Coturnix japonica: one gene and its partners. The protein of the gene in region 2 interacts with the protein of the main gene of each other region in a biochemical or structural test. Links are inferred from orthologs where the notes say so. Each region holds a gene or a part of one and is shown on either strand. Other genes may lie near its edges.

The links.
Region 1: the proteins of BMPR1B (region 2) and BMP2 form a complex in vitro, tested with the Homo sapiens proteins (3 studies listed by BioGRID and IntAct, with this or other methods). The link is inferred for Coturnix japonica from reciprocal best matches to the Homo sapiens genes BMPR1B and BMP2.
Region 3: the proteins of BMPR1B (region 2) and GDF5 interact in a biophysical measurement, tested with the Homo sapiens proteins (3 studies listed by BioGRID and IntAct, with this or other methods). The link is inferred for Coturnix japonica from reciprocal best matches to the Homo sapiens genes BMPR1B and GDF5.

The regions. Positions count from the first base shown.
Region 1 is NC_029518.1:13,152,279-13,156,375, reverse strand, and holds the start of BMP2 (bone morphogenetic protein 2), read left to right. Parts: upstream 1-1,297; 5' UTR 1,298-1,730; intron 1,731-2,390; 5' UTR 2,391-2,397; coding exon 2,398-2,731; intron 2,732-4,097. UniProt on the Homo sapiens protein: Growth factor of the TGF-beta superfamily that plays essential roles in many developmental processes, including cardiogenesis, neurogenesis, and osteogenesis. Induces cartilage and bone formation.
Region 2 is NC_029519.1:52,645,954-52,649,453, reverse strand, and holds part of BMPR1B (bone morphogenetic protein receptor type-1B), read right to left. Parts: intron 2,803-3,500; coding exon 2,706-2,802; intron 1,927-2,705; coding exon 1,788-1,926; intron 1-1,787. UniProt on the Homo sapiens protein: On ligand binding, forms a receptor complex consisting of two type II and two type I transmembrane serine/threonine kinases.
Region 3 is NC_029535.1:1,102,732-1,107,002, forward strand, and holds the start of GDF5 (growth/differentiation factor 5), read left to right. Parts: upstream 1-1,471; 5' UTR 1,472-2,805; coding exon 2,806-3,439; intron 3,440-4,271. UniProt on the Homo sapiens protein: Growth factor involved in bone and cartilage formation. During cartilage development regulates differentiation of chondrogenic tissue through two pathways.

The DNA of each region.
Region 1 (4,097 bases), on a different chromosome or scaffold from region 2:
TACATAATGGGCACAGCATCACACTGCTTTCACCTTGGTCGTGAAGAGGACTCGCAGGGAGTCATAAAACTAAACTTTATTTGTACTGAAATGCAACAGAAAAGTTACAGAACTTTTGAGGGCCTTCACACGAGGGTCAGCTGAGGGGGCGTGGGGAGCAGCTGGGTGCACAGTGCTGGTTAGTCCCTGCTGGGCACTGTCCCATGGCACAGCTGCGGCTCACAAGGCGGCAGGAGAAGGGACCTGCCCCAGTGCAGATGCTGCGTCGTGCCCTAAGTCAAGATGGAGGGAGAAGGCCACTCCCAAAGGAGGAGCTGGGAATGGAGGTGTCAAGGTTGTTATTGCTTTAGATTCTCATCCGCAGTGTTTTACATTTGGCTGTAGCTTCTTTGCAGATGAAGTCCCTGAGGGGCGTTTGTGACCCCTGCGGAGGGGCCGCGTCCCACACAGGCGAACGAAAGCCGGGGTAGCGGCCAACCCCGACCCCGAGCGCGGAGCCGCGTCGAGGCGCAGAGCGGCACAGGGGAGCGGGCAGGTGCGGAGCGGGGCAGCGGGCGGGGAGCGCCGCTCCGCCGCCACTGGGGGGCAGCCACGGCTCAGGAACGCGAGCGGCCGCGCGGGTCGGGCCGGGGCCGGGGCACGGGGCAGCGTCCCGGGTGATCCCGGAGCGCCCCGACGGCGGCTGAGCGGGGAGAGCGGCTCCCAACCCGCGGCCGGGCACGGCGGCGGTACGGTGCGGGACGGGACGGGACGGGGCGGGCCGGGAGCCGCTCGGCAAGTCGGGAGCGACGCCGGGGGCTCGGGGTCCGGTCCCATCGCGCGACCCGGCGCTCGGTCACTGTGCGGGGAGCGGCGGGACGGTCCCGTGCGGGCGGACGGACGGACACACAGACTGGCCAGAGCCCGGCGCGGTGCGTCCGGGCGAGGCAGGGAACGGGCGAAGGAGGAGGAGGGAGAGAAGCGGCGAGGGAGGGAGAGACGGAGGGAGGCGGCGTCTCCTTTAAAAGCCGTGCGGGGCCGCGGCCCGCTCCCACAGGGCGGCTGTGATTGGCGCGGGCCCGCGAGCCTCCGGGGTCGTGACATCGGAGCGCAACAAAAAGCCGCGGCCGCGTTCGGCCGCCCCCGTGCATGGTGCGGCGCGGGCGGGACGGGTGCGCGCTCGCAGCGCTGTCCCCACCGGTGCTCACACCCTCCGGAGGGGTTTTGTTGGTGGATATTTTTTGTAATGTAGCTTTTTATTTCGTTCTCCTCCTCGGTTGGGTTTTTCCTTTTTTTTTTTTTTTTTTTTTTNTTTTTTTTTTTTTTCTTTTAAAGGCGCGGAGCAAAGCGAAGCCCAGCTCCCATCTCCATGTCGCTGCGGGATTCCCGGTAAATAGCCGCCCGTGCGCTGCGGGTGATGCGCAGGACGCTCGCGGAAGGCGCCGTTCCGCTCCGTAACGCGTAGCACCCACTCGCGGGCGGGCAGCGCGCACCGAGAGGAGAACGGAAAGGAAACACCGACTTTGCGACCGGCGCTTTGCGAAAGGAGAAGCGCGGACTTTCCTCCTGCCTCCCGCCCGCCCGCCCGAGGCATGTTCCCGAGGCGCTCCGCACCGCGGGCAGCTCCCGTTTTCCGCCCGGCAGCCGCAGAGGAGCAGCAGCAGCGCGGTTCGGAGTAACTCCAAGTGATGCGGGGACCACAGCCCGAGAGCAGCACGCGCTCCCGCAGACGCCAGCCCCGCCGCACTCAGGTACGGCCCCGCGGCCGCCGATCGCCGTCTCCGCAGGATGACTCCGTGCAACACCGGGGGGACGGGACGGAGAGCGGGTAGCGAGCCTTAACCCCGCGCCGAGTTTGGCGGGGGAGAAGAGCGTCCCGCGGCTCCTGCTCGAGCGCGAGCGGCTTTTATTTTTTTTTTCCTTTTTTTTACTTTTTTTTTTTCATCTTTTTCTTTTTTTTTTTTTCCCTCTTCATTCCACGCCGGGATAGCGGGGCCCTCCTCCCTGTGACCGGGGAAGCCGCGGCTGGAATAGCCTGCCCCGGGCACGGCCGGGAGGTCCCTCTCCCACCGCCCCGTCCCTCTCCGCCCCCCGTTCCCTCTGCGGGAGGCCGTGGCCGCACGCACCTGCGCCCGCCGAGGGCGGCTCTCCGGCCACCCGCGCCCCTTCCCCTCGCCCCCCACCCCCGCTGCCCGGCCCGCCCGGCTCCTTTTGATCCCCCGCCGCGGGGATTTGGTGCCGCCGCGCACCTGAGCCCCGACGGGGCCCCCCCGGCCGCGCCGTCCCGCTGTCCGCTCGCCATGGGCCGGCAGCCACCTGCGGAGTGGCCCCGGCTGCCCCCCGCTTCGCGGCGCGCTCCCCCGGCGCGGTGCCCGCGCTGACCGCCTCCCATCGCCTCCTCCTCCGCGCAGGTCGACCATGGTTGCCGCCACCCGCTCCCTCCTGGCGCTGCTGCTCTGCCGGGTGCTGCTGGGCGGCGCGGCCGGCCTCATGCCGGAGGTGGGACGGCGGCGCTTCAGCGAACCGGGCCGCTCCGCCTCGGCCGCGCAGCGCCCCGAGGACCTCCTGGGAGAGTTCGAGCTGCGCCTGCTTCACATGTTTGGGCTGAAGCGGCGGCCCAGCCCCGGCAAGGACGTCGTCATCCCCCCCTACATGCTGGACCTCTACCGTCTGCACGCCGGCCAGCAGCTGGGCTACCCGCTGGAGAGGGCCGCCAGCCGCGCCAACACCGTGCGCAGCTTCCACCACGAAGGTAGGGGCCGAGGGACGGGCGGAGGGGAGCGGGAGGAGTGCGAGGGTGGGACGGAGGAGGGGCGGCGGGGCGGGCTCCGAGCTTCGGAGGGGGTCGCGGCTGCGTTTCCAGAGCCCACCGCGGGCTCCGGGGCCGCCGGTGTGAGGCTCTCGCCGCGCTCTGCCGGCCGCGAACGGAGCTTTCTTTGGGCGAGGCGGAACGCGAAGGAAAGCTTCCCCCGAGCCGCGGCGAAGGTTCCTAATCCCTTATCTAAATCCCCGTGGGAGATAGGCGAAGCGGGCCGGAGCGGCCTTCCCCCGGCCGCCGTCGAGCCGGAGGAGTCGCGAAGCTCGGGGCCGTGCCGCCCGGCTGGAGGTAGCGCTCCGGGGTGGAGGTAGCGCTCCGGGCTGGGGCTCCGGCTGCTGGCTGCCCGTCCGGGGGCCGTACCCAGCGAGCGGCTCACACGGCCGAGATCGCAGCCGCGTGGTCCCGCAGAGCCGTCGGTGCTTGCCGCTGCCCCGCTCTGCAGGAAGCTTTATCCCGGGATGGAACCTGCCCTGGCCATAGTCTCTGGCGCTGGCACACGGCGGCTCTGCTTTAAAGGGAATGGAAAAGCGGTCGCCCCGCGCTCTTCAGGTGGAACAGCTGAGAAAAGAAACGCGCTTAGATTTAATGGTTCTGCTGGACGGAGGTGGCCCCGGTGCCGTTTAGTGGGAAGTGAGATCAGTGGTGAAATGTCACTCTCTCTGTAGCGGGGAAGTAAACAGCAGCAGCGCGTGGCTCGTTCCTTTTAAGCCCGTACGTGGCAGGCGAGGTGCTGAGCAGGACAGGAGCCGAGGGGCACGGAGTGTAACTTGTAGGCAAACAGAGCAGCGTTGGAAGCGGTGGTGTTGCAACAAAGTCTTTGACATGGAAGGCTGTCCTCCGGTTTTCACAAACTTGAGACGAAAATCAACGTGACTCCGTTTTTCCATTGAGTTCTCACTGTTGGTTCGTGACTTCATGAGAGCAGGAGGCTGTGCCGGGAGCGCTCGCACATCTGCATATTTACAAACGCCGGGCTGGTCCCGAAGCGCTGCAGAGCTGAGCCCTGCCTGATGCGGGAAGTCGGGCTGGAGCCAGCAGGGAATGGCACGGGGCTGAGAACTGCTCACGTCAGTGCCAGCTTCCCTTCAGAAAGTGAACGGATCCCCGGGATGCTGAGTAGCAAAAAGAAAACCCAGGATTTCAGAGGGATTATTGTGGGCAAACGCTATTTCTTCCGTGTCTGCAGCAGAAACTTACAGTGTAGCAGCCCTAGATACATAGTACTCCCCCTGAAGTTCCATTCCAGTGTCTGTTGGCTGAAAGGGAAAGATGGCACGGGGCTCAGGGGCTGGTTTGGTTG
Region 2 (3,500 bases):
AGGTACTAAGCTGTGTACTTCCAGCAAACATGTAGTGGTTGTAGCTGTAGTCTGGGAACATTTATTATTACGGGCAAGTTTCACTGTAGCTCTCATTTTTCTTCTCTTCCACAGAAAATGACGATTTAAAGGGAAAGTCAAGGAAAGATGCATATGTTTTCATAGGCAAAGAGAGAGCTAGGGACAGCAGTAAGACCAGAGATTTCACCTTCAACCAGCTGAGGCTCCCTGAGATGGAGAAAGGCATAAAGCATGAACTGTCATAACCAGGCGTTTTTCCAGCTTTCTTGTCCCAAGAGCATCCTTTGGATGAAGTATTGCACAGTGAACAGCTACGAGATAGACCAGGCCACCTGCTACCCTTGTGGGCTGCTAGGAACACATCCTCTCAGACAAAAAGGACCAAGTTCCTTGTGTTTGCTCTAATTGCAGTATTTCTTACAGAGCCATAGAAACAACTAGGTTGGAAAAGACCTTCAAAATCATCAAGCCCAAATTCTGCCACTATAATGAGTAGTTACAAGTGCAGAGCAAGACCTTGATGCGGAAGGCATACAAAAAGCAAACCAATAATATTAAGAATCCCTCACAGCGAAATAAATTGGAAACTAACATTATGAATGATCCTTGAAATTAACTATGATATATTCCTTTCCATGACAGAGCTTTCCTAAAGCCTAAATGTAAATGATGGAGTTTTTCCTCAACAAAAGAAAATGAGCCCATCCAACCTGGCTTTGAACACCTCCAGGGATGGAACATCCACAACCAAACTGTGTCCACTTTTAGCCAGCCACTCAACCTGTCACCTCATTTCAAGGAAATAAAGTTTCCCATTTATTTTTCTATTTTAGGTTTAGAAAACAAGACATGAGAGCAAAAATAAACAATAGACAGCACTTGGAAATTGGGCAACATCACCAGTAATAGGACCGCTACAAACTAATCAGTTTGGAAGAGACTAGGGACATATAATCTCTGAAGAAAGAAAACAAAATCTAATTCGTGCTGTTCTTTCAGTGCTAAAAAGCAACAATGGCCCTTGAGAACACAGACTGCTGAACAGAATTGTTTTGCTACAGAAAGTAAAGCATTGCCTTTTCGGCATGTGAGCTGAGGGGGTTCAGTCATCCTGCAGTCAGTTCAGAAATAATGGTAAAGCTCACTCCATCCCCATGCCTTTAACCTTTGAGATTACCTCAGTACAAGGTAAAATAATTCATTCTTGACTTCTGAATGCAAAGTGAAGTCTGCACATAAAAAGGTTCCGCACTCGATGAATTGCAATTTCTTTCACATAAAGCCTACGTGTCAGTGTTGGAAAAGCTATTGTGTGTTGCACATAAAAAGTGAGAAAATAAGACTGCAGGCTAAACGCTGTCATTTGCACTGGGGTAAATCCTGATAAATTTCTGTGGTCTCTGTTGGTCTCTATTTCCTTCGTGGTATTCTCAGTTAAGAGAGGAATTAAAAAGAAAACAAAAGAGAACAACTAAGATTTTTGGCTGAGTATACATGAGGAGAAAAAAAAAAAAAAAAAAGAAAAAAAAAAAGACAAAAAAACCTCACTTGATTCTAATGCAGGGGTTTGTCAGCTTAAATCCTTGTCAATTCTAGGAGAAAATAAATAATAATAATAAATAAAAGACAAACCTTAAAGACACTTAAAGACACAATGCCTCCTTTCAAACATTTAAAAGCAACACCATTTCTTGTGCACCGTTTTGTTTCTCCTTTTACTCATTTTTTCCTAGTGAATTGACATTCAGATAATGTTGTTTCCTTACCAGGAGAGGGAGCCCGGAACCGCTGCCTGAGCTCTGGGACTGCTCGATCAGATCCTTCAGGGACTCTCCAGGGGGAATGTAGGTCTCGTCCTGCTCCAGCCCGATGCTGTAGCGGGGCCTAGCTTCCTGCCGCTTATACCTGCCGTTTGTACACCAACGTTAGCTTCCAACGTAGTGAGCAGGGGTACAAAGAGTAAAGAATGTTATCCTCCACATCAGCCTCATATAGAGACAAATGGCTTCCTCGGCTTCTTAGACCAATATTTTCAGTTTTATTACTAACAAACCGTTTTCAGCATCAAACTTTTAAGTATAAAACTCAAAGACTGTGCCCCGCATGCTATGAGCTTGCAAAGCTAGGAGATGCTTTTCTTTCAGCACCTTAAAACACAGCCCAAATAAATATGTGCTTTTATTTTACCAACTGCAGTCTTTTAAAAGTAAAAGAAGGAACAGCTGTGGGACCCGGGAGTATTTAAAAAACGCAAAAAATGTTTTGAACGTATGTAGATTATGATAATACTCTAGATACACTTTCATTCCTGTATTTCCCTCTTTTTTAAGATCAGTTTCTCATCACTTAAACACACTAAGAAGCCTTAGGCTTTTGTTGTTTTTCTGTATAAACTTTGTCCTGTGACATTCTCAGCTTCACTAAAGAGCAATCTGTGCTTCAAACCAAAAGGCTTCTTATGATGCTGGGTGAAAGATAATACATGGGATTCATCACTGAGGTATGTCTGTGATTAACATGAACAAAATACACATTCTTTTCACATGATAAAATTACATCTTTTTCCTTTTTTCTTTTTTTCTTTCCCCATGAGGTTCATCTTAAATATTTCAAAATTTTGAGTCCACAAAAAGAAAAAAAGTTAGGAAGAATGCTAACGAGCTGATAAAGTGCTCCTTATTTACCTGAAGTAGCAGAATATGATGATAAGCACCAGAAGTATACTACAGACAGTCACCGAGATCAGCAGGGCCTTATGGTGAATGTTTCCTTCAGCAAAGTCTGGAGATAAAACAGAGCAGCAGGAGGAAAGTGAGAAAATTTGGAAAGGGAGATGGTACAAAGTCAGTGTGAAAAAATGCACACCGAACAAAAGGTTGATGAAGCTGTGGATGCCCCATCCCTGGAGGTGCAAATCCAGGCTAGATGGAGCTTTGGACTGTCCCTGCCCATAGCAGGGGGGTTGGAGATAGATGGTCTTTAAGGCCTCTTCCAATCCCAAATCATTCAGTGATTCTGACTCTGTGATTCTACTACAGCTCTGAACACGATGCCTATGGATTTCACTGGGGTTTTGTGCGCATCCTCATTGGGCCTCACCAGCAGGGCAGAACCAGCACCCACAGGAACCCAGGTGCTGATAAAGTACTTACTCTGTCAAAGCATGGATTTGCAAATCACTGTTTGACTCTGAATGAAATCAATTAGGAAAATCACACCAGGACTCGTTGCTTTGTATCTTAACCTATGTGATCAGTGAGGACATGAAAAGATCTTAAATCTGTATCTTAAATCGCTGGCATCTGATCGCAGTTAATGTAACAAATAAATAATTGTGTTTATCCTAGTAGGGAAAAAGAGTAGACCACCCAACCCCTGAGAAGGCAAACCACTAAAGGCTTTGTCGGCATATTTCCAGCACTGCAGAATAATCCACCCCTCTGATCCTGTTTAAACACTTAAGTGGGCATTTCTTTCCT
Region 3 (4,271 bases), on a different chromosome or scaffold from region 2:
GTGGAAGCTGAATGTGAGGGAGGTGAATTCAGCTATGGCGGATTAAACATCAGATGGGCAGATCCACAGGAGCGCAGAGGTCTGACAGCGCTCACATCGCAGCACCGTGTTGGTGACAGGCGGGAGCCCCAGGGGCCAAGCTCCAGGAATAGCAGTTTGGCCAGAAGAATCTGGTTGAAATCACACAGGGGACAGGAATAACGGGTGGTGCCTCCTGAGAGCTGAAGGAGACCTGGGGCTTTGCTCAGAGCAGCTCACAGTAGCTCTGTCCCCATTGGCCCACCAGGGAAGTTCCCGCAGAGCTGCTCAGCATCTCCAGCTTCACACTCCTCCTGCTCCCATGTCCTGGTTGTGAGACTGATTCACCCCAGTTTGGTTCATTCTTTTACTTGTGACTGGCAGTATCAGTTGGTGTTCAATAAAAATGGAAAGTTACATTCATCTCAGATGTGTAAATACTGGGTGAGCATTTGACCAATTGTGCTGTTAGTCTGATTTACCATGAGACAAGGCCTATGGAGTCACACTGTCTCACCTTCTGCCCTTTCCTGTCCATCTGCCCAATCGTTTCTGTATCTGTGAATCTCAACCATGTTTGATGGAACAGGAGAGATCTTAAAGATACAGAACTCTTACCGGTGTTGTGAAAACTGGAGTACCCCAAAAGTGACGCCTCCTAGATAGGTTTCCATGCAAACCACAACAGATACAACACATACAGTAACACTGACAGAGCCAAACAGAGTGTTTGGGTGCTGGCTTTTCTACATGGAGGAATGTGATTCCATCCCTTTGCTCCATGTGCGACTCCATGTCAGATGCCATCCTATCAGGCTCTCCCTCTGCTGCCATCTGCCATATAACAGCAGAAAGGAACAGCGTGTGGGTGGGAAGGTTCAGTTTCTACTGCCATTCCTCCAACACCTGCCTCTGTCATCATGGGCCAACAGCATACAGTAGGAGGCATCACTTTCAGAGCATCCCTCATAGAATAAGAGCATGAACTCAGCACTTGGCTGTTTCTGTGGGCAGAACCAACACAGCACACCTGTCTGCCTGCAGGAAGGTGGATAATGAGGGTGGGAGGAAGGGACAGCATGGCTGAGGGTTATGGGGACAGCACGAAGGAACTGTTGGGGAAGGGGCCTGTTGGAAGTAACTCGTGGAAAAGCTGCTTTGTTTTGATGGGAAACATCAAACTGACTGCAGAGAAATGGCAATTAGGCCAAAATTGAGAGGGTGGGGTTTTTGTTCTCCCTCATTTGTGACATCTGTGCGGTCACTAAGCTGTTCTGCCCTTTGGTTCCTCCACTGGAATATGGTAAAGCATTCTAAGCGTGTCATATGGAAAGGGCTGCAGGTTGTTATTTATGAAAGTAATTTCATGTCAGAGTGGAAAATGCCGCAGCACGTCCAATTCAAGCTAAAATCGAGGCTGTTGTATCTATCCCCTTTATTCTTGCTTCAGGAATAAGTGACTGGGAGGGGAGGGCTGGGCTCAGCACAGCGCTGGATGAGAGAAGGGTCCCATTAATCCCCGTTCACTCCAGCCCAGTGCCTCATTTCCCCAAGGTTCATTCAGAACAACAACAGCTCATTTTTTTGTACTGCATGAAAGACACTCTCGCTCCGTGCTCCCCGGAGTACAGCTGACAGCAGCAGATACCCTTCCCACGTCAGCAGCTCCGGTTCCCTCCTCCCATCCTTCCCCTGTCTGTGGGCAGGGAGCTCTCCTACATTCGGGTTCACAAAAGCTCCGTCCCGGCTGCGCCCCGGCTCAGAGCAGCCCGAGCCGTGCTGCTGGCAGGAGCGGGGCCGCCTGCAGGGAGCAGTGCCTGCACAGCCTTCTCCTGCAGCTGGGTTACGCGGGTTTGTTCAAAGCGTAGCAATAAAAACACCAACATGCGATGACTGCGGGCACGGCGGTGCTGCGTTATACCAAATTCATCGCCTGCCTCGTTAGCTGAGTCGCTGGAGGGCAAAGCGAAGCCGCAGCTCCAGCAATAAGGAGCAGGACGGGGTTACGCACCGAGGCTTTCATGTGCGCGTTCCCGTGGGCCGCAGGACGGGTCCCGGCTGTCCGTCTCGCAGTTTGTCCCATTTAAACGTGAAGTTGATGGAAGGCGAAAGGAGAGGTTGTGCCGCCGCTCCAAAACGCGTCCTCTGGAGCCCTGAGCCCGCGGAGCTGTTTCACATGAGGCAGGGAATGAGTCATGCTCATGAAAAGGGCAAAGAAGATTTTTTTTTAAAGAAATATATCGCAGTTAAATTAGTTTAGACAGCATGACATCAGAGAGTAATTAAATCGGTTTGTTGGAATTCCGTTTCCAATTCCTGAGCTCAGGTTTGTAAAAGATTTCTGAGCACCTGCAGGTCTCTGTGTGTGAAATATTTTCACTGGAAAGGATTCAAAACGTTAAAAAAAAAAAAAACAGCCCTTTTAACACAGAGGCAGCATTACGCCATTCTTCCTTCTCGGAAAAAAAACCCCTCCGATTTAAACAGGACTCCTTCAACTTTTCAGTCAGTTTTACAGAAGAAAACGAGGTGGTAAACTTTCTCTTTTCAAGAACGAGCCCTTTACAGCCACGAACTGAAGTCAGGGGAGAGCGCGTCTGAGAGCAGGAGCATTTCCACTATGGGACTGGATACGAGCACTGAACAACCAGATTTGCAATGTTTTAATCTCGATCGAAAACCACTTTTGCTGACTTTGGTTTTTAATTTCTTTCATGTTTTCTTCTGCCAAACTGGAGGAACCTTCCCTGATTTTTTCTTTAGCGGCATTCAGAGGAAGACCAGAGGATGAAAATCCTGCATTTTCTCACTTTACTGCTTTGGCATTTGACTTGGCTGTCTCTGGATCTAGTTCCTGGAGCACTGAGCAATTCTGAAGCAGGCCAGAGTAATCCGGGGTCTAAAACAGATTTGTTAAAAGCAGAAGGAAAGGAGAGGACTCCCTCAGCACGGGCAGGCACGCCACGGGCTGCGAACCATGGATTTAGCACCGGGACCTCGAAGGCAAGGACTAAAAGCAATGCTGCTCAGCCTGGAGCTCTGCTGGCCAAGAACGACGAATCACAGAGGGTTCTTTCAAGAGCAGCTGCCTCAGAGGCAAAGGTAGGACATCTCCCGAGCAGACCTTCTGGAGTAAGGACGGTGACTCCAAAGGTCCCAAATCTTAGCAGCAAGACGGCTTTGAAAAAACCCAGCACGAGCAGTGCTGATAGCAGCGCTTTCAAAACGAAAAAGACTAAAGAGCCTGTCACCCAAAGGGAAGCTAAGGAAGCTTTCAGACAGCCCCCTATAACGCCACATGAATACATGCTCTCTTTGTACAGGACTCTCTCAGACGCAGAAAGAAAAGGTGTTAATGGAAGTGTAAAACTGGAGGCTGGACTTGCCAATACAATAACCAGCTTTATAGACAAAGGACAAGGTAAGAGGGGAGCTCACGTGTGTGTGGACAGAGGGACATCTGAGCACGAGCATTACTAGAACATAACTGTATGTTGTTAAAGGCAGAAAGCTCTTTCTAATGAGAATGAAATTGTAGGTTTTGTCCTTATCTTGGCAGATTCCTCTAGAGGCAGAAATAGATGGTAGCATGGCAGCCAAGCAAAACATTAGAATATTTCAGGTGCATATTTCTGAAAATCCATTAGTCCTTGAGGGTTTAGTTGTTCAGAAACTTTCACGTTTTGATCTTATGCTATTTCAGTAGGAAGATCCTGGATACTGTTGCTTGATTTTATTGCTAAGTGTGTCTGAAAACACATTCTCTGCTGAGAAAGGGGCTGTTCTGCGGAAAAACACACGTTTCAGTGTTGGAGGTCACCCCAGTTTGTCCAAGGATGAGCTGGGAGGAACTACAATGTAGACCCAGGAGTCATTATAGAGTGGCGCTGGTGTACCTGTATGAGCTTGAATCTCATGCTTTCAGACACTACCAGCCTTCTAACCACAGAAGCTCACAGCTAAACATGGGCTAATGAGTGTAAATAACTTCTGGGACTCCCTAATTTGCGGTTCAGTGTTATGGTTCCAAATTTATTGGAAATTTGGCCTAGTGTCTGCTCTCACACAACACATAACCAAAGAAAGATGTTCACCTTGCCGTCCCAGTGGGAGGCTTATCTCCATGTTGCTTCTGGTGACGTTAATGAGAGCTTTGGTCATGGAATTAAGGAAGCAACACAGGCCACAGCTAATTACATAATAGTGATTGAAGACTCAGCCAGGACTGGGTTTGTTTGCTGTTTAATCAAGAA